3 separate regions of the Mus musculus genome follow, and all the other regions are reported to be linked to region 2. Evidence: microRNA targets listed by miRTarBase, many of them from high-throughput screens and not tested one by one. Region 2 holds a microRNA gene; each other region holds the end of a gene's coding sequence.

Region 1 (7,097 bases), not on the chromosome of region 2:
TTGTGTTTCTTCAGGTTCCATCTGGGCTCCTATACCATACAAAGTATTGTTGCTGGATCTACTCACTTATTTTCAACAAAGACACATTTATCTGAGGTTGGTTGTACAAAATGCTAACAGGAAAAATGCAAGGCTCCTCTGTTGAAGTGACGTGGAGGCTTTTCGTGCTAATTCTAGTCCCTCTGTCTTCTTTCACCAATTCTAATGATTCCACACTGAGATTATTTTTAAGTGATTGCATGTATAGCAAGGAGATGAAATTCTAATTCCATTCTCAGCACTACTTGGTGTTTCCTCAATACAAATAATTTAAGTAGGAATAAAATTATTTTGAGGAATCTCATTCAAAAATGTGGATTTATTTATCAAGCCTAATGTTGACTTTTCCTTCGGAGTTCTTTTTCTATTTTAAGAAATAAGGAAAGAAGACATATAGACATAGTAGTAGAGGCACGAGCAGGGAAGGAAAGGGTCCTTTGTTTTTAAGATCACTTCAGATATTGTCACACTTGGTTGAGGCAAATACCTTGGGTGTTAAAGTATCAGGCTGTTCCTGAATGTTACCATACTCCCCCTACTTCCCAGGTGTCAGACCTTTGAGCCACCATCACACAGTTAAAACTTATTTCCAATGGCCAATCAGGGAGCCTCAGCCTTTCTTTGTTTAAAATACTTCTCTGTGGAATTTGCAGGTCCAGGCATTCTTTGAAAATCAGTCAGAGGCAACCTTGAAGCTTCGGTGTGTTCAGGAGGCTTTGGAAGTGATTCAGCTGAATATCCAGTGGATGGTCAGGAATCTGAAAACGCTCTCCCAGTGGCTGTAGCACTCACAGCTGATCTCCGGCGCCCATGGCTCTGCTGCTTTCGCAAAGGTTGAGTGAAGGCCGGCCTGCTGCTGAGTTGTTTGCACTGTTAGGAGTTCTAGTTAGCTCAGGGCCCAATTGTATTTTTCATATCTTTTCTGAAATGTCTTTAGGCAGTAGTTATTTATTACAAAATTATATTCACCTGTATGTCATCCATCTACAATAACAATGAATAACTTTTCTTTGACACACAAATGGAGAAAAAAGTCAGATTTGAAATTTTGTTTTATTTCTTAGTGTCCAGAGTATTACTGTTACAGTGCAACCAAGGAAGGTCTGCTGTAAGAACCACTGTGTTTGTAGGTTGCTGATTGATCAACTGTTTGTTGCTTTTTGTTAAATAGATACACCTGGGTTTGGTAGTGCAGTGGCAAAGACATTGAAGGTACAGCTCTAGACAGATGACCTGATTGGGGGTTCTTTAAAAAAAGTTTTGTCCAGTTTCCAGTTTTTTCCTGCAAAATAGCCAGGTTCTAAAGACTTTTTCATATTTCTGTTAAATTGAACAGCTGAACAGTCAGGCTCAAAGTTTCAGTTTTCCAAATATTTAACACTTTCTGCTTCATCTTCATGACACTATGTAGGAAGTGTTCTGAACTGAGTTAACATTAATTACTTTACTCATGAATTCCAGTACCCCTAACTTTGTATCCTGGTAAGGCCTTCCACCAGCTTTCTCCTGTAGAGGAGCACTCCATGCTTGGGAGGATTTCTCCTGTAGAGGAGCACTCCATGCCATGCTTGGGAGGATTTCTGTGAGCGCTGGTGGCTTTGTCATTACTTTCACCCAAGAATGTAATTTGTTTAAGTTGCTGTTTGAACCTTACAAATCATACCCTCTTCTCTGTGAATCATACCCATGTGTGGGTTTTACTTTATGTTACAGAGTATATTAGAAGCATTTCTTAAATAGGATCTTCAAGAAATTAAAGCTTTTTATTTTGAAGTTCACCATAATACCTTAAAGGAATAATGAGAATGTGGAGCAGGAGGAAGTTGAAAATATGGTGGGCTATGAATTCTTTTTTTCACTGTTAAAAACAGTGTTTTTATTTAGTTGAAAAAATTACAGGTTTTTTGTTTGTTTGTTTGTTTGTTTATCATGGCCAAACTACGTTAAACAGAGTGGCCAAGAATCAAGCAGAGGACAAGGGAGGGAGGGAACCCAGAGCAGAATGTGGGCGCTTTCACTCCTTCTGAAGGAGAAGGATTGTACTTGAACTTTTTGAGCTATGCAGACTTATTCCTAGATTGTTGTGTTTCTTTGAATCTTAGGAGAGAAGCTTTCTTCTTAATAACTCATGAGAAGTCTATATTTTGTTTGAAAACAGTGTCTGTGTACATAAAAAGGGAATCACTCATTTCTGAACACTGAAAACACTCCACAGAGTCAGACCATAGAGAGGCCACTTGTTTTTATTCAGCTGTTGTAAAGTTAGAATATGTGGAGTTATATACAAAGTTATAGTTTATTTTATGAGAATATTTTTATATAATAAAATTTTAATGGCTGACAAGCTGAAAATAGCCTGCTTTAATCCTAGAGTTTGCTCCCAATTTCATCTTTTCTAAACAGTTTTTGGGTTTTTGTTTGTTTGTTTGTTTTTTAATTTGTGCTTTTTTTAGTAGAAACTGTTATTCCTGAGAATCATAGAATCATCTTTCTATTTTAGTGAAATAGGTAATTATAGATCTCTATTCCCCTTGTATTTTTGGTAAATGTCTGACAGTTGTGTTGATACTGAAGGTTAGTAGGGTTTTATATTTTTAGAGTGAAGGACAAATACTCTTGTGGGTTTTGGTTGTCCCTTTTCATTTTTTACCATGCTGTATTACTAGATTATACTTTGATAACAGAGTTTAACTTTTGCTACTTCTCAAGATCAGTTCAACCTTGAGATTTACCTGCCCATCTTTTTGTTGATCTTATAGTCTTTGTAATTCTGCATATGGCAAATCTTGTCCTAAATAATACTTTTTTTCCATGTATGAGTGTGAATATTTGTGGTGTGCTGTGTTGTAGATAAAGCCTTATGAGGATATGGGCTTAAGGAGAGGTAATCCTTGATCCAGTGCGATTAGTAGCTGCTCGTTCCCAGGATGCTGGAGCCATATTTTAAGTCTTACCTATAACCTTCACCTGACTTTTTAAAAAATTTTGGTAGGCCTCTTAATTTGCCCCCAGAATTCTGTACGTTTTCATGCTTTGTTAGCTCGTTTATGTACAGCTTCTTAGCTAACTCAAAGTCAGTTCTGTATGACTGAGAGGTGGCACTTGTAGTCTAAGAAGTATGTTGGTAGCATTCAAATTTCCTTCCTCTAAGATTTAATTCTTCTCTCTGTACTTTTAGGAAGGAAAATTGAAGCACGGGGGGTCAGCTTGTGCTTTGGGCATAAACACACAAAATGCCTGACAGCTTTGGGTAGCAGTTGAATGAGCATTCTGATCACTACAGAGAAGGGGTGTTCTTGAATGCAATGTGAAAGGTACGTCTTGATTAGGAAAAGTAGAATTGGAATTCTAGACTTGAGAAAAAGAATCGATTGGGAGATCTGAGAGTTTATTAAAGCTGGGAATTGGAGGAGACAAGTTTCCTCTGCTAATATGACATTAGATATAATAAAGTAGTGGTCATGCCCCCACCCCAGAGGCTCATGCTCTCTTCTGTCTCATTGTATTAGTCATTGTTTCAGAGTGTTCAAAGACTTTCTTGCTATCATAGGTTCTACTTAATTTTCTTTGCCATATGTGTTTTTATTTTTATGAGATTTTAGCCACCATTGGAGCAAAAGCTGCCAGAAGAGTCCTGGGTATAAACAAACAAATCCAGCTGCATGAGGTTTACTGGGTACCCAACAATTCTTGCTGATTATTGCGAAGCAAGAAACTAAAATTAAGTCCTGTGTTGTTGCATGATTGTTAGTCTGTTGTTAAATTGGATTGTAAAGATGGTTACTTAATCTAAAGAACCTGAACTGATGATCTTCAGCCAGACTGCTGAGCACTTATAGAGACCATGTGTTGTGTGGGCTCTAGGATAGCACGGTCTGTCTCAGGTGCTCTGTTGCCAAGGAGTGCAATGAGTTTGCATCTAGGAATGCGTTGCTTTACATAGCCTCTAAGGATTGGGACCATGGGTATAATGTAGGTCTTCTTACCTTTGCCTTACTTTTGTTTATGTGGAATTAAATCTTCTTCTACTACTTCTTCTTCTTCTTCTTCTTCTTCTTCTTCTTCTTCTTTTTTGGTAATGTTCTGTCTTCTCATGTTTGTATTTCTTGAAACTCAGGTATATATTTTTGCTGGGGTTTTTGTTCTTTTATTTTGTTCTTAAAGCTCTAAAATATCAAAAAAGTTTCAAATGAAAAATGGAGGTCCCAAAGTATGACAGATTACTCTTTCCCCATCCTTTATTGCCCGGTTAGTCAACAACTAGTAGAGTAAGTTATTGACCTTTAGAGAGTTGTAGAGGTTTTTGGGCGGGGCGTGGGGGGAGGGTGTTAGTGTTGATACATATTTTGAAACATATACATGTATTTTTAGATGTTTTTATATTTTATAAATTTTGTCCTGTTAATGAAAGAGTGAAGTACTGCTTTCTGATAATCTCTCCTCTTCCCATATTGCCTACTATAGGCAAAGTTGTAAAATAATTTAAGTTTTGAAACAGTGTGAGTTTCAAGAGGGGAACAAGGTAGCTTCTTTTAAGAGTGTGTAGAAATAGTTTTGCTGCTATTTGGCGCTTACTTAATGCTGCTCTCTATACATTTTTCTTGTGGACATGTACATAAGCCATGCAAGGACACACAGATGTTTGGCAATAACAGAATGATAATAGTACCTGTTGTTTTGCTCTAGTCTTAGGAACTTAGGTTGTCGCTCATCCTTTCAAACATGTTGTAAGTGCAGTGCCACTTGTATTTCACTTTGACTTGTCTCTGCATAGGCACGTGATTACCATGGTGATTGAGAATGACTGATTCTTCCCTTTTTCTTGTTGCCTCTTAAGGCAAGAACTGTAGAAGAGAGTAGAATAGTGCTTGCTATGGCCTTTTATTACTGATTCATTAGGTTCTATGCCCTTCAAACATATGTGAAAATACCTGATGAAATGTGGAAGACTACATGTGAACAGTCCTCTCTTCTCTCACCTCTTACGGCCTGTTGGCCATCTGAGTGGAAGATGGAGGGAAATGTACTTAATGTCTGTATATATGTTCTTACTACTGTATTGCTTTAGTTCTCTGGGTGATCACAGTGGAAGATCCCCAATGTACCATGGAGTTAAGATGTACAGCAGTGCCCTCTTTCCCTTTATTGCCTCGGTACAATACTTCTTAAAAGTATTTTGAATGTTTGAAAGTTGGGTTTGGGTTTCTGGTGGTGGTTGGTTGGTTGGTTGGTTTTTGCTAAGCTGGAAAAGTAGTTTGGAGGCAGAGTGTATACTTTTCAGGTGTACAAACGTGTTGTCGCTGTGCTTTTCCTTCCTTGTTTTCCCTGTCCTTTCTATGGCTTTATGAGTAAAGCTAGAAATCTCTCCAAGAGGTTTCTTCCTTATGTTGGCCATGCAGTATCATTGACAGTAGCATTGACAGTGACCTGGAGCTGCTCCTGGGGGCTGAGGAGCTGGCATCTGCTTTTCCTATGTGTGTCCCTAGGTGCTCTTGCTTCTTAATCACTTAAGCCATTTCATTGGGTGCCTGTCCTGATGAACTGTGGAGCTCCGAATTTAGTGTCCTCCCATTCCTGTTCCATCTCTGTGAGTAGGCTTTTCTTTTTAGGTTTTTTTTTTCTCTTAGCTTTACTGGGGACTAAGGGCGAGAAATATATTCTTTATAAATATAAATAATTTTGTTACTATACTGTATTATTTCATTTGGTACTGAATCCTTTACATGGGCATTTAAGTACCTAATGAAACGTGGAGGTCCGGATGTATGAAAACTTCCTCTTTTCCCTTTTCCTCATTGCCTCTGTGGGCAATAGCTGTAGAATAGCATAGATTTTCTAATTCTCTTCCACCCAGTAGGTGGAAGTATGTATATACTTTAAAATGTAAATATAAATTTTTTAAACTTTTTGTTGTTACTTCATTTGTACCTAAATCTATTTGTGGACACTTAGGTACATAAAGAATATTGAGGTTCATTCTATGAAAAATCTCCCCTTTCCCTTCCCTCATTGCCTGTCTGGGCAATGGCTTGTAGAGTAGTTGTGTAGCTTTGGCATGGGGGTGTAGGGTGAGAAGAGTTCTGGGTTTTTACCTTTTTGGATGTATTTAAAAGTCTGTCAGTTATTTCAGTTTTTCACTCTCAATCTGTGTTTGTGTTATCAAACAAACCAAGAGTCTATATCTATGCCCAGAAGTGTGGAACATCTGCCCCTTCTCTGTCACCTGTGCCATATTGCAGTAGTGTATACGTACTATAAGGCTTGAGTTCTTGTTTTGTCTGTTGCTTATAGCATAGCTTGTTAGAGAAAAAGGTAACCATATAATATATATGTATATATGATTGTAAATGCCTTGTGGTGTTAACTTCATTTTGAACGTGGTCCTTGGTGCGACTATTTTTACTCTGTACTTAATGAACACTGAGATTGATTCTATGAAAACTCTCCACAGTCCCTATCCCTCACTGCCTGGTGGGCAGTGGTAGACTAGATGTTTTATTTGCTTATCTTTTGTTTGCTTTGTGGGGGTCTGGGTGTTTATATATTTTTAATGTATATATAATATTGCTATATTCTGTATATTATTCCACATAACACCAGTTCTTTGCTGGAATTTGTAGATACATAATGCAACATTGAGGTCCAGAGGTATGATAACTCTCCCCTGCTCCCTTTTCCTCATTGCCTACAGAGGCAATACTTTTATAACTTGGTTTTTTTTTTTTAGGGGGTGGGAATGGGATTGCTTAGGTGGGTAGTGGTTAGGGGAAAGGGTGAGTGCATGATTTTAAAATATATTTTTTCATGGTACTGATTAGGCCCCTAGTCCTTTACATGGATAGGTGAGTACCTAATCAAAGTTGAGGATCAGTGTATGACGTATCTCCCATTCTACCCTTCCCTGGATGCCAGTATTGGCAAGAGTGAGTAAAGCAGCTGTGTCTTATTTACTTGTTTTGGATTTATATTTTTGATAGTAGACTATTCTTAATATAAAGTTGTCATGTTTTTATTTCATTTTGTGTTCAGCCCTTTGCCTAACTGTAAAGAACATCATG
Region 2 (7,120 bases):
GAAAAGCACAGGAGCAGCAGCAAAACACTTTAATTTTACATTTGATTTTTATTTTTATGTGTATGGGTGTTTTGACTGCCCATATGTCTATGCATGCAATGGCTTTAGAGACCAGAAGACGATACTGGACTGGAGTTACAGATGCCTTTGAGACAACTTGTGGATCCTGGGCATGGAACCTGAGTCCTCTGGAAGAGCAGCCAACCCTCTTAACCACTGAGCCTTCTTTCTGGTGAGCCCCCTCTCTTTAAAGACAGTATTTCATGTAGTTCAGGCTGGTCTTGAACTTCTGGCTCTTTTCTCCACTTCCCAAATGTTGGAATTTCTGGATGTTTTATTTTGTATCTGTGTGGAGCGATGCAGTGTGGTGGCTGTATCCCCAGTACTGCAAAAACCTAGGAGGATTACCATAAGCACAAGGCTAGCCTGGTCTACTCTGTGAGTTCTCAACTAGCCAGCCGTGATATACGATGTCTCAAAAAACCAGCATTCTTTTTTTTCCCAAAGAAGACAAAACAATGTAGGGACTGAGATATTATGGGTCAGTGTTAATAGCATTGGTTGCTCTACCAGAGCATATGGGTTTCATTTCCAGCATGCATGTGTTTGCTTACAATCCTCTATAGTTTCAGTTGCAGAGGATAGAAAGCCTTTTGACCTCCCTGAACACTAGGCATGTACATGGTGGTACAGACAGGCAAACAAAGCACCCATACACAAAAAATTACATTTAAAATTAAGTGGACAAAATGAGTTCTTGAAGATCGAAAACCAGCTCTGTCTGCTTTAAAAATATTTTCTTTCAGCCTTTGAGCTGGGGGGTAAAGATTCCCTGTCTCATATGGATATAACTAGGGGTAAAGCTCAGACGCCAGCTGCAAAACTCTGTTTTTCCCTTCGCTGACAGAACTGAGTAGAACACCTCAGGTTCTGGGTGCTAGGTGCTGTGTATCTTTGGACATATTAGCTCAGAAAGGTCACTTAATGAACTCTTACCCATAAAGTGGTTCACATTCTCAATGACATCAATGACATCAGAGCATTTCTTCACTTACAAAAAGTGCCAGGGCCTCCTCAGCCCAGCCAGAGGTTTCCTGATGACGATGCTCTGAAGTTGGACAGAAAGAGGGAAGGCCACGGTTTTTAAGTAAATGTCCCATCCTGGAGGAGCAATGAACAAATTTCTCGCGAAATACGAAGCATCCCCTAGGGGTTCATTCAACCGCTGGCTTGGCCAAAGGACACTTTGCCGGGATCTCAGAGCCCTCGCTAATTTGGTGAGCTGTGTAGTAAGCATGGACGCGCCCTCATGAGTATCACTATAATAACTACAGAGAAATGAGCTGGGAAAAGGCGGACAGAGCTCCTTTTCAAGAGTTATGAATGAGGAGAAAGTGTTTGTAGAACTCATTGTTAAAACGGTGGAGCCAAAACTCGGGCGCCTGGCCAATCGGAGCCTGGAGGCTATTTTGAAATCTTTCCAGCAGCAGCCAATAGGTGCGCAGGAGGCAAAGCTTGGTGTAGGCGCAAGCCAATGAGGCTGGCGCTGTGCCTTGAGGCCCGGGGCTCGGCCCTCGGGACTGTCAGATGGTTAAAGATGGAGCCGAGGGAGAGAGGGCGCCACGAGGTGCTGAGGTGCGGGGTTGTCCAGATATGACGGGGCCGCCGCCTACCTGGATCTTCCACTAAGCTTCACCTTGTCCCCCTGGTGAGAACAAGAGGTGTCTGTCCACGTGAGTAACTGGTCTGGGATAGGGTGTGCGGTGAGGCCAGGGAAACTCCAGATGCCAGGAAGCCCTAGTTCTGCTCTTCTAGGCAGGAGAATCTGTTAGGATAGAGTGCAGAACTCATACTGGGGGAATGGACCAAGGACCGGATCTCGGACTCCAAGGGCCTCACGTGCAAGGAGTGAAGTATCCCTCTTATTCTAGTTCTGGTCTGAAACAGGGTACAAGTAGTCCCACTGTGCTCCCCTCTGCAACTGAGCGCAGGCCTCTCTCCTTTGTGTTTGAGCCCCCTCGGGTGCTCGCCCTTCAGCTCCCTCCTTGGAGTACCTCACCAGAATCAGAAGCCTGTTAGAGAAAGTTTGAGTTCCCTGAAGTTAATAAGTCCAGAGGACTGCATCCGGGCTGGAATCCCGTCTGTTCTCCGAGCTTGGATAGATGTCCCACCCACCCATGGTGGTTGAATTTCCAGCGCAGCCCTGCGTGCAGCGAGGGCGATGGATTTCCTGCTGGCTGCGGGTGCTCTGACTAGGTTGCACTACTGTGCTGTGAGAAGCAGTGCAATGGTATTGTCAAAGCATCTGGGACCAGCCTCGAAGACCACCTCACCTACTGTTCCTTCTTTCTTCCCTTTCCAGGCCTGGCCCCTCAGGCCTGCAGGCCGTACCCTCCCCCTGCTCATTTTACTCTCTTCTCCATGGAAACTTGAGATTGTAGCCAGGCCCGTGTCTCTGGGGTCAGAGGGCATCCTTTGCTCAGGCCGAGGCTCCGCCCAGGTGGGCATGCGTTCTAGGTCTAAGATCCCACTCCAGCCACCCCAACTCCCCATGCCCCGCCCCACCCCGTGAGACTGACAGGCTTGTTGGACACTCTTTCCCTGTTGCACTACTGTGGGCCTCTGGGAAGCAGTGCAATGATGAAAGGGCATCTGTCGGGCCAGCTAAGGAGCCTGAGGAACAAAAGGGTCAGTGCTTGGATCATAGTCTTAGATAGAGATAGCTATCTCTAGCTAAAAGGATAAGGTGGATGCTGAGAACCATATTCCAAGGCTGGAACCAGTACAAAGGGGAGACCCCAGATTTGGAAAGGCTCCAGTCTCAAGCTCTTAGCCCCCTCCCCCCAGGTTAAGATAGGGGAGTCTGCTGCAGGGGGCGCGGCGGTGAGTGAATGGTAGGTAGCTCATGCCTTAAATCTCAGCACTTGGAAGGCAAAGGCAGGTGGATCACCCAGATCTAGGGCATCCTGGTCTACATAGTGAGTTTTAGGACAGCCAGGGATACACAGAGAAACCGTGTTTTGAGAAAAACCAAATTAACTAATTAATTAATTAATCAATTAAAAAAGAAAGAAAGATTGGTGAGCCCATGTCTGGAGGCTGATGCAGGAAGATTGTCTCAGTTTTGAAGCTGTCTGAAGAATCAAAACAAAACTAGGAACTCCAGGACCTTGTGGAGAGAAACAGATGTTCACCTCTTTGTATGGAAAAGGTTTGTATACCTTGCTTAGCCTTGACTGCCTCGGGAAGAACTGGACTCAGCCTTTCCTGAGATAACCACACCTTGGGTTCACACCTTGAGGCTCAGAAGAAGTGTCCTGCCTGGGCCAGATGGATGGACTTGGAACAAGAAGCCTGCAGAGTAGGCCTGCCAGCCATGTCTGCTTGCTCCTTTACAAAGAGGGTATGTGCTGAGTAGGAGAGGCATGGAGGTGTCTGGTATGTCTGCTTTCCAGACAGGGCTGGAGCTCATTTTTATTTATTTATTTATTTATTTATTTATTTAATTTATATGAGTGCACTGTAGCTGTCTTCAGACACACCAGAAGAGGCCATCGGATCCCATTACAGATGGTTGTGAGCCACCATGTGGTTGCTGGGATTTGAACTCAGGACCCCTGGAAGAACAGTGCTCTTAACCACTGAGCCATCTCTCCAGCCCTGGAGCTGAATTTTTAAGGATGCCCGATCCTTAGTGTGCTTGCAGAGTTACCTTTAGCGGCAAGACCCAATGGCCCATGCCTTTGAATGCAGCACAGGGAAGGCATGGGTAGGTAGATCTCTGTGAGTTCAAGGACAACCTGGTCTACCCTGCACGTTCCAGAAGAGCTATATTTACATGGTAAAGCCCTGTTTCAATGCACCCACCCCTCTTTTACAAACAAACAAAAACCTAGTAGGAGGTGGTCAGGCCTGCCTCCTTGAGAGGAGGCCCAGGCTTCCAGATTCCCTTTTGGGAATAGATTGAGAAAATCAGCCTTAATAGTACTCTAGCTCCACAAGTCCTGGCACCCATGGGGACTGCTCTGATACATAATGAGTCTCAGGCCTGACGGAGGGCTTTGATGGGGAAGAAGCAACCACACTCCTTTGTGGCTAGGGTAGACGTGTGTCAGCAGCTGTTGCCACAGCAGATCCATCCTGAGGTGCTAGGAATCCTAACATGTGCATATCTTACATATCTTACATGTGCATATCTTACATATCTTACATGTACATATCAGGGGAGGTCTGGGCCGCAAAGGATTTAGGTTGGCTAAGTCACTTCTGTGAATTTGAATTGGCTCAGGGTGTAGAACACTTGCCTATTATGCACAAGGTCCTGGGTTTAATCCCTAGCACTCCAGAGGGGAGGGGAGGGAGAGGAAGGTAGCGGAGGTAGGTGTGAGGAGAGGCCACAGGAGGACATCAAGACATAGAGCAAGTAAGTGGTCATGGGTGCAGGCATGCAGTCTCTAATCCCATTGTTTGGGAGGCAGAGTTCCAGCCTGGTCTACAGTGGATTCCAATATAGCTAGAATTACATAGGAGACCTTGTCTCAAAAAACAAGCAAAAGAAGTGGTCAGGACATGATCTGGAGAGGGATGTGTGTAATGCTTCCGAGTAGGTAGGAAACTCAGAGGGTGCAAAAGCCAGAGCTAAAGCCCTTTGGGGGGCAGAAGGAAGTCCTTTTGGATATTATCTTAGTGAACTGGAAAGTAGATTCAATTACCAGGGCGGTCTGGTAGGGCAGAGTATGGAGGGAACTGCAAACTGGGAGAGGGCTGGGTGCTTTGAAACGGAAAGGACCACGGCTCAGAAGGAGGTCAAAATCCAGGAGCTCAAAATCCAGAAGGTACCTGGGTGCCTTTGGCGGTCACAGTGAGGGGTGGAGCAGTGGGGGCGGGGTGGGGTGGGGAGCACACCAATGCGCATGCCTAGAGAAGTGAGCATTGTTACGCGTACTGGTGCTGGACCCGCCCCCTGTCTCTGTGGGCATTCATTCCCTGGGGTAGACCGGGAGGGGGGTGGGTAGTCTGGGGATCTGGAGTCTGCACTGCGGCTGTAGGGAGAGAGTGGGTACGCCCTGCAGTCCTCATCCCGATGGTTTCCCATCACCTTTCTCAGTCCTGGCCCTCGGGAGGGTCTCCCTGCCCCAGGAGCCCTGCCCCGACGGTCGTTCTACCCACAGGTAGCATCGACCCACCACCAGCAGTCCATTTCCAATGGAAGTCCTGGATGAGTTCGACAACGAATTCCCCCTGAGTGTGACCTTCTGCCAGCTCATTTCCGAGGATGACTTCGAGAGGCAAGCAGCGACCTACACAGAGCGTGCACTGCGACGACTCTTCCGCACCTTGGATCGCAACCCAGCACTGGCGGAGAGAGTCGTGCGGAAGGGCAAGCAGACTGAGTTCGAGCAGCGCGGGCTCCTCTGCAGCCTCTGGGTGCGAGCTGCGGGCAGCGGGCAGCAGAAGTCCACTAACTCCCTAAACTAGGGAGGATCTTTGAGGGTGGGACTTTGGCTGAGGGATGAATGGGGAGGTTATCTATTGGCTGGGGCAGCCAAAGGGGTCTTTCCGAAGCCAAGAATACCAAGCCTGAGGAAGGAGCAGGCAAGCGACTCTTTTCTGGCTTCCCGCCTTTTCTCCTCCGTATTGCAGGCGAAGTTTGTCTGCGCTGTGCAGGGGGATCTAAACCAGTGCAATGACATGGGTGCCATAGAGATGCATCGGCGCCTGGAGCAGCTGAAGAGGCGCATACATCGTGTGCATCTGTATTCCCAGGGTGAGGCTCAATTTCTGAAGGTGCAAACCCTTGGGACTCTTAGCCCAGCTCATCTGCTCCCCCTCTGCCTCCCATCACATTACAGTGTCTATCAAGCTTAGATTGGTGAAATCTTAGGTGCACTCCCTGCCCTGGATTTGCCTCTCTTGGATCAGATTTAATGAAGAGCGATAATGTGGGCCTGGGACAGAAAGGGAGGAAGGAAGAAACACCTCCTAACAAGATTAGCTAATTTAGAGAATGACAACTGAGGGTGGGGGAGGGGTCGTAGACACATTTAATCTCAGCCTTAGGATATTTGTCTTAATTAACACAATTTATCTACTTATATATTTGAGACAGGGTCTTATTCTGAAGTCCTACTTGCCTCAAAATCTGCCTGCCTCTTTGCCTTCATATAGTGCTGGGAGTCTTGTGTGTGTGTCCCATGTGTTTGTTTAAGTGCCTGTGGAAGCCAGAACATGGCATTGGCTTCTCTACAGCTGTATTTATAGGTGCTTATTAGCCATCTGACATGCATGCTGAGATCTGAACCCAGGTCTTCTTTAAGAACAATGAGTGCTCATAACAACTGAGCTATCCTTCTAGCTCTTCTATTACGTTGACTTTGTATGTACATGTACAAGCACACTCACTTTCTGTTCTGCATATGTGGATGGCTGAGGACAGATTGCAGAAGACTCAGCTCTACCACAACTCAGGTTATCAGGCTGGGTGGCAAGCTCCTTTACCTGCTGAGCCATCTAGTCAGCCCTTATTGCTTGATAAGGCCTTGTATGTCCCAGGCTGACCTTAAACTTGTAGCTGAGATTAGCTTTGAACTTCTGATCCTCCTGCCTCTATCTCCTGAGTTTGGGGATTACAGGCATGCAACACCACATCCATCGAATGAACTCTTCCAGTGGGCTGGTGAGGTGTGCTTTAACACCCACTGTGCTCCGCAGACTCAGCAGTCCTTAAGACCTAAGAGCACAGTAGGTCCTGGCTCAGGGTCGAGCCAGACGTTTGGCTACTTTGTGGGTTCCCCTCCCTTCCATCCTTCAGCCCTCTTTCACCCTTTATCTAGATAAGAGAGAGTGAAAGGACACAGGCAAGGGAGCATTGTTATTGTTAGATACTGCTGATTAGGGGCATGGAGTTCCTTGAGGCAAGCTTGATCTTCACCATCAGGATATCCAGTTTCTTATTTCTTCTTTGTGTATGACTACTTAAACCACGACCAATAGCAACCAACCAGAAACCCACCAACAGTCCATCCCAACTCTTGGGGCCAGGATTTATATATCCTCTGAAGAATACTCAAAATGCCAAACGTCACACAGTGGCAAAAACTATCAACAGCTGGAAAAATGC
Region 3 (7,097 bases), not on the chromosome of region 2:
GCTTGAATAGTGCTAGAGGCTTAGACTCACAGACTTCCTCACTACTTTTAAATGACCTGCCCCTTTCAGTCACTTCAAAAGCAAAATTAAAAGAATCGGCATAAAGAGGAACCCCTGACCATCATGTCCCCTATGTGATATTTTCCAGGTCCAGTGGCATTGCAGATGCCGGATGATTGCAGGAGCCAATTTCTACATTGTGGGTAGGGATCCCGCAGGAATGCCCCATCCTGAGACAAAGAAAGACCTATATGAACCCACCCACGGGGGCAAGGTCTTGAGTATGGCCCCTGGCCTTACCTCTGTGGAAATAATTCCGTTCCGAGTGGCTGCCTACAATAAAATTAAAAAGGCCATGGACTTTTATGATCCAGCAAGGTAGGTTTCTGGAGAAAAAAAAAATTAATTGACATGACAACTGTCCTGATGAGGGAAAACTTTGACCCTCTGGAAAAAGTCTCCAGTCTACAGGCTTCCAATGGGAAAGACACCCTTGAGTTATAGACCTGCTCTTGCAAATGCTGTGTCCCCTGACATTGTTGGCAGAGTCCTCTGCATGTAGGTGTTGGTCTGTAAACATTTCTCTTTGGTCCGATGGATATAGCTTACTAGCAGAATACTTGCCTAGCATTTGCACAGCCCTGGCTTTGATCTCCAGGAACCCCACAGAAAGTTCTTGAGCTGGGCATAGTGCTACATGCCGACAGTCACAGCACAAGGGAGCTAGAGGCAGGCTGGTCATCTTTGGCTACATCAAGCTTTAGGCCAGGCTAGGCTATATGAAACTCCATAGATCTGCCTTATGTAGACACCTAACACCTAACCTTTAAGTGAAAGGACATGGGGAGAGACGCTTTTCAATGAGCACTTATGGCACATGTCTGTTCCATACCAACTTCACACAACAAGTTAATCTCTGGCCTCAAGATATAAAAGAGAGGTGTGCAAGAACCACTGTGCAAACACCTGCTTTTATCCCTTCTTTGTTCCACAAGATTCGGAGCTAAAGACTGAGACAACTGCCCATTTTAAAACATTTGGCTGTTTACAGAAAAAAGAAAAAAAATGCAAAATAAAATCAGCAATGTAGCCCCAGGGATCTTTAAAGAGCTGCTACTTCCCTCTGCTGAACTCTCTGTTGCTGTACTGACAGGCACGAGGAGTTTGACTTCATCTCAGGAACTCGCATGAGGAAGCTCGCCCGGGAAGGAGAAGATCCCCCAGATGGCTTCATGGCCCCGAAAGCGTGGAAAGTGTTGACAGATTACTACAGGTCTCTGGAGAAGACCAACTAGGTGCTCCTGGCTCTGGCTTCTTCCTCAAGTGCTCTCTGACGATTTTTTTTTTCTATTTTTGTGATTTAGCTGCTCTGTATCCAATTGCTTCTCGGTGACTTTTTAAAGCTAGTATTTTTGCAATGAAGTAAAAAGCTGTAACCATAATTTAAAACCAAGTTCATTATGTCTATGAAGCTCACACTGGAGACTGAGTCTTAGGTGAAAGCAATATCGTTGTACGTTCCAGAATGAAAGCATTTGCACTGTACACTTCATCTCAGCCACTATGTCTCAGATTTCTTAAAAATGTAACTGTGTGGCTAGCTGACTAGCCCAGAACAGAATCATACTTTCCAGCTTACTTGTGCCAGCCTGGAATCTCAATGTCACTTACCAAAAGAAAACACACACACACACACACACACACACATACATACACACACACACACACACATATACATACACACACACTGTCGCTTTGAAGGAAATGTGTTATATCAGGACTCTTACTTCATAACTACACATACCATCACTGCCCAATGTACGAGCTGAAGATGCAACTGGAAGAAAAATTCATGTGAAGATGTAAATTAAGTCTTAAAGAACAATGTAATTTATGTCTGCCATGAAAATGTCATCATCCAATAGAGAGAGACGCTCTAATGGCCTTCTATGAATAGTTACTCTAGTTTGGCTGGCACTTTTCAAAAGCATGGTATGCTTGGATCAAAACAACCCCCCCCCCAGACTAAACCACCAGGGTATATTGTAGACTACTTTCCCCACACTTTGCTGTGGCCATAGTTATTATAGAAGCACCTAAGTGATCGCTGTAATCAAAACCAACCCACATTATTAATGAGAAGCTAAAACTTGATTTCTGTAGCAAAGATAAAATCCAAACATCATCCTAGTGAAGATATATACACATAAGCTTTGAGAGCTGCTGAGCACTGTAATATACAAAGTTGACATTAGTGAATACTGCCGACACTGAAAGACTGACCATCCTCCTAAGCTAGGGCCCTGCCTACCCTAGACAACACAGGAAGAGGTTCCGATTTCCTGAAGCTACTTAGTGAAGCTCTCCTTGAGGATGCTAAGAAGCAACCACCTTGGAGACCGAAGGTTTAGGGTATCCCAAACTCTTGATGTTATAAGTTTCCAGAATGAACCTGTTGTGAGATGTCCTTTGATGGTTTATTTGCTAAGAGGGAATTTTGGTATTTTATGCATGGTTCATTGTTGCCAAGAAATACATAAGAGAAAAGGCATCTTTACATACAGGTTTCTTTGGAAGAGACCACAGACTGAAAAGAGAAACTGATTTTTTTCATACTGCCACGTTTTTTAAAAATGCTAGGAAAAGCTCTACTGAGAGTAAGTTATATACTGTGACCACAGCAAAGTGAGTCTTCGACTGTATGGCGCCTGTGCTCACTTACATCAGAGCTATTTATTCACTGCTGCCTTTAAAACTATGTCTTCACTGAAAACGTGACAGGGTTGTAGTGCCTTCTTAGCATATGAAGTTGTGATTTTAAGACAGTAGAGTGCCTTTCTGCTGTAGCACACAGCATAACTGTTTCAGTGTCCCGCTGGTACCTGTTCTTATTCAATAAATCTCTCAAAAGACCACGTTGACTGGTGATTTTGGTTACTGCCTCAGTGGCCATGTCAGGGGGTCATAGCAATGTCTAACTGGAGAGCAGTATCTACTCTCTTCTAGGCGCCCTTATTCACATCATTTTCACACTTGACTTTCAGATGTAAATGACTCATAGTCTTAGCTGGACACCTGCTTCTCCGAGGTGACTGGGTTACTTATGAAATTCTACCCAGAATTTCACTGCAGGACAATCTAAGGTGATGAAGCCAAAGCCCTTGCTCTTATAGGTATAGATCTTATCTTCAGACCCTCCTTAGCAGCCAGTATTCTGTGTGCCTAAGGCAGTACATTTCCACTCTCATGCTGGGGGAAGGTGGGCCGCTAGGCACAAAGCTCTTGCTTCTTCCTGAGTGCCTGATGTACTTCTAATGGCATCATGCAAGTTTTCTGCTACTTCACCACAAATATTAGTAGTGTAATCGCCAATGCAAAGCTATCACCTGGTGCTGAGTCATGGCTCAGCAGGTAGACTGTTTGCCTAGCATGCACACAGGCCTTGGTTTGATTCTCAGCACTGTATAAATCAGACACAGTGGCACATACTTGTTTATCCCAGTGTTGGGAGGTAGAGGCAGGCATATTAGAAGTACAATGTTTCCTAGGCTATGGAGTGAGTTTGAAACTAACCTGGGCTGCATAAGATCCAGTCTCAAAAAAAAAAAATTAATTAATTAAAAAAAAATGAGTGAATGGTATCATTTGTAGTTCCTTTGTTGTTTTCTCCTCAGATCATAGTTGGTGACTCCTATTATCAATTAGTAGGGTACACAAGTCCAAGAAATGTCTATGATCATGTGTCACTCTTAAGGAAGTGCAAACAAATCCTGGAAAAGCATACATAAATCAATCAGTCAGACCTTACATCAGTGTACTGGCAGGTGTTATGTGTCAACTTGACACAGCTGGGGTTATCACAGAGAAAGGAGCTTCAGTTGAGGAAATGCCTCCATGAGATACAACTGTAAGGCATTTTCTCAATTAGTGATCAAGGGCGAAAGGCCCCTTGTGGGTGGGATCATCTCTGGGCTGGTAGTCTTGGGTTTTATAAGAGAGCAGGCTGAGCAAGCCAGGAGAGCCAGCAAGTAAGGAACATCCCTCCATGGCTTCTGCATCAGCTCCTGCTTCCTGACCTGCTTGAGTTCCAGTCCTGACTTCCTTGGTGATGAACAGCAGTATGGAAGTGTAAGCTGAATAAACCCTTTCCTCCACAACTTGCTTCTTGGTCATGATGTTTGTGCAGGAATAGAAACCCTGACTAAGGCCATCAGTATTTATCAGGCCCCAATATTTCTTTCTAACCCATCTGTCCTGCAAATAAACAATCTTGGTTCCTCAAGAACAGCAAGTTTGCATTCCCCTCCCCCATTTCCCACTTTTCTATGAGGCATCTGAGTCTTGCAAGCATTTATATTCTGCATAGGTGTCCTTCCAGGCAAGAAACCAGTGAATCTAACAGACGAGCTAGTTGTTCTTGTGCCTAAAGGTTTAAGGGGACGATGCAGCTTTTGAATGACTCAAATGTCCATTGTCTACTAATAGGCAGTTAGAGACCGTCTGTATAGGGATGCTGATCTTTCCCAACCCTGGCATCAACATAGTTCCTTGGGGAATACTTTTACTGGGTCGCACAGAACAGTTACCAAACGAAGATGGCACTCAAACGGTTCACTATATGCATTCCAAAGTTATTTTACTTAAATTAGTAAAAACAAATGGGCTACTTGCTAGATTTGAACATTTTAGCCAGGTTCTAGAGGTAAAAAAAAAAACTATTTTATTATGAGGCTAGCAAATCAGAGTGGGGAAAACAATTTTTAAAAACAACAAAAAACAAACAAACAAACAAACAACCCAAAAGAAAACAAGCCAACCCTCTTCATTTGGAGAGAAGTAAGCCATTCAGAGGTAAGCTTGGCCTTACCTTGGCAGTATTAGTGCAGAGAGTAGACCAGTATGAATGGAGGAAGGATCTGTGTGTTTATCTGCCAGGGATATTTTGCAAAGATGAGGGTAATTCAGGAGAGATTGAAGACAACAGTGTATTTATTGGGACAAACTGCAAGGGCAAACACACCTACAAAAATAGACCGCTAGGCTACAATCCCGCTACTTTGAATTTTGTCAAGAACATGCCAGGAAAGGGTCTAGATGCCTTGTATGTTCTCAAGATGACTGGATTCCACCTTTCAGAATTAAAAACAAATGAAAGCGACAAGCATCTGAAGGTGGAACCCAAACTCCTCCCAGCTCCAAAAAACAAGATGGAAAAGCTGGTATCGGGGTGAGTAGGGGCTCAGCCAAGCCAGCCAACTTGTTCAGTTAAAGACACCGCACAGGTCCAGTGCAACTAGGACTGGAACAGGCAACGATCTGCCCTTTACTCTTGTCAGAGGAAAGGTCTTGCACTCACTGGAAACAAAAACCTGTGTTTTGTTTCACTTTCCACAGCTCTCTTGTATCAGCCAGCTAGTATAAAAACATTAAGTTATTTTACCTAGGCAGAGTTGGCCATAGTAAATAGCACTCCAAGCGAAAGAACTTAGCAGGGTCCCACACACCAGCCCTTGGAAGCCTGTCCACAGGAATGGCTCCCTTCTCATTCTCTGCACACCCACTGGGTTACCTGTGGTTCACAGTCAGCTGGCTAACTGCCACTCTAGTTTGTCCAACACTCTCTCCAGAAGTTTTTAGAATGAATTTACCCATCTCCTTTTGTTCTTAGTCTCAATGTCTCCAACAGACCCCTATACTCAATGCCATCTATTTTAATAACCCAAGGAGTTCTCAGAACAACAGGCAAAGTTCCTGAAGGCCAATGAAGGAATAATAGAAGGCCTTGAGCAATCTTTGCTAAAAATAAAACCCATTTGGAGCTCAATATTTAGATCGGTTCCTTCAGCTCCCCTCTGAGGCCAGGCATCCCACCTGCTTCAAATAAATTATTTTCTAGATTATCTACAGTTGGTTGCTGCCAACAGAATCCTAGTTGGGTAGTCTTTCTAAGATTGACTAAGGCCTAGATGTGCCTGTGAAGAGGCATAATGACATATGCTATCTGTAGAGTATCTGATTTCTGAAATCTAATGCATCTTTAAAACAATGTGGTCCACCGGGCGTGGTGGCGCACGCCTTTAATCCCAGCACTCGGGAGGCAGAGGCAGGCAGATTTCTAAGTTCGAGGCCAGCCTGGTCTACAAAGTGAGCTCCAGGACAGCCAGGGCTTTACAGAGAAACCCTGTCTCGAAAAACCAAAACAAACAAACAAACAAAACCCAAAACAACAATGTGGTCTACATTATGTCTTGATTACACATTTATATATCCGTTATCAATTCTTTTTGGTGTTTGGTTAGAACTGCGCCATCATGGTGGCCATTGAGGCTCCAGGCACTAGGAAAACTGATGCAGGAGTTTCAGGACAGCCTGGGAGACCCTCTCTCAAAAACAAACACCTGAACTGTCATGGTTTCCAAACCCATGTTTTTTATGTGTCCCACAACATAGCACTAACATTCACTTCATCTTAGTTCAAAGCACAAAAGCTATCTAAAACCAGTCTCAAAATTTTGATTTATGTGTGTTTATCATGTGAGTATGGCTGCTTGCAGGCACCAGGAGTTTGCCTTGGAGTCTCTGAAATGGGAATGTCAGAAAATTGTGCGGGAAGGAACTGGGTGCTGGGAATGAACCTTGTGTCCTTTGAAGAGCAGCATGCACGCTCTTAACTGCTGAGCCATCATTTCAGTCTCCACAAAAAAAAAGGTTTAGAACTGTAAATATTAAGACTACCACAAAAACCACCCCATCAGAATTTTAGTAATACTCTCACTGGCTACTATCATAAACGGTTGTAACAATTACCAGGTTTGCCAGCATGTCTTCAATTAACATTGTGAAATGACTTTCTTGATTTGATTTCATTTACATGGTAACTCTTAGCTACTTTAGTAGGTTCAGTTAGATTGTTTCATATGGATCAGATCCTCTTAAATATGATTGCAACAGATTTATTATTTTTAATTGTGATTTATTATTTTTAATTGTGTGTGTGTGTGTGTGTGTATGTGTGTGTGTGTGTGTATGTGTGTGTGTGTGTGGGTAGGTAGGTGTATGTGTACATGTGAATGCAGGTGCTCACAGAGGCATTAGAG

Evidence for each region. The annotated mature microRNA mmu-miR-301b-3p reads CAGUGCAAUGGUAUUGUCAAAGC and lies in region 2 at 2,281-2,303, shown strand. An mRNA with a match to its seed (bases 2 to 7 or 8) in the 3' UTR can be bound and repressed. Matches are read on the target gene's strand: a 7mer-m8 pairs with bases 2 to 8, a 7mer-A1 pairs with bases 2 to 7 and ends in A, and an 8mer does both.
Region 1: miRTarBase lists Lnpep as a target of mmu-miR-301b-3p. Seed matches in the 3' UTR shown: 7mer-m8 at 905-911.
Region 3: miRTarBase lists Papss2 as a target of mmu-miR-301b-3p. Seed matches in the 3' UTR shown: 7mer-m8 at 1,536-1,542.

The regions. Positions count from the first base shown.
Region 1 is chr17:17,523,476-17,530,572 of GRCm38, reverse strand. It overlaps Lnpep (leucyl/cystinyl aminopeptidase), which reads left to right. Exons shown (of 18, transcript NM_172827.3): 17 at 15-96; 18 at 693-2,850. The coding sequence ends at 824. Among named protein-coding and RNA genes, the nearest start is that of Gm41537, 36 kb to the right of the region's middle.
Region 2 is chr16:17,119,603-17,126,722 of GRCm38, reverse strand. It overlaps Mir301b (microRNA 301b), which reads left to right and starts at 2,227; the gene lies at 2,227-2,323. 2610318N02Rik (RIKEN cDNA 2610318N02 gene) reads left to right here and starts at 1,521. Exons shown (of 7, transcript NM_001358255.1): 1 at 1,521-1,733; 2 at 5,172-5,427; 3 at 5,644-5,767. The coding sequence starts at 5,206. Mir130b (microRNA 130b) reads left to right here and starts at 2,581; the gene lies at 2,581-2,662.
Region 3 is chr19:32,664,273-32,671,369 of GRCm38, forward strand. Papss2 (3'-phosphoadenosine 5'-phosphosulfate synthase 2) reads left to right here. Exons shown (of 13, transcript NM_011864.3): 12 at 149-378; 13 at 1,154-2,915. The coding sequence ends at 1,295. Among named protein-coding and RNA genes, the nearest start is that of Atad1, 44 kb to the right of the region's middle.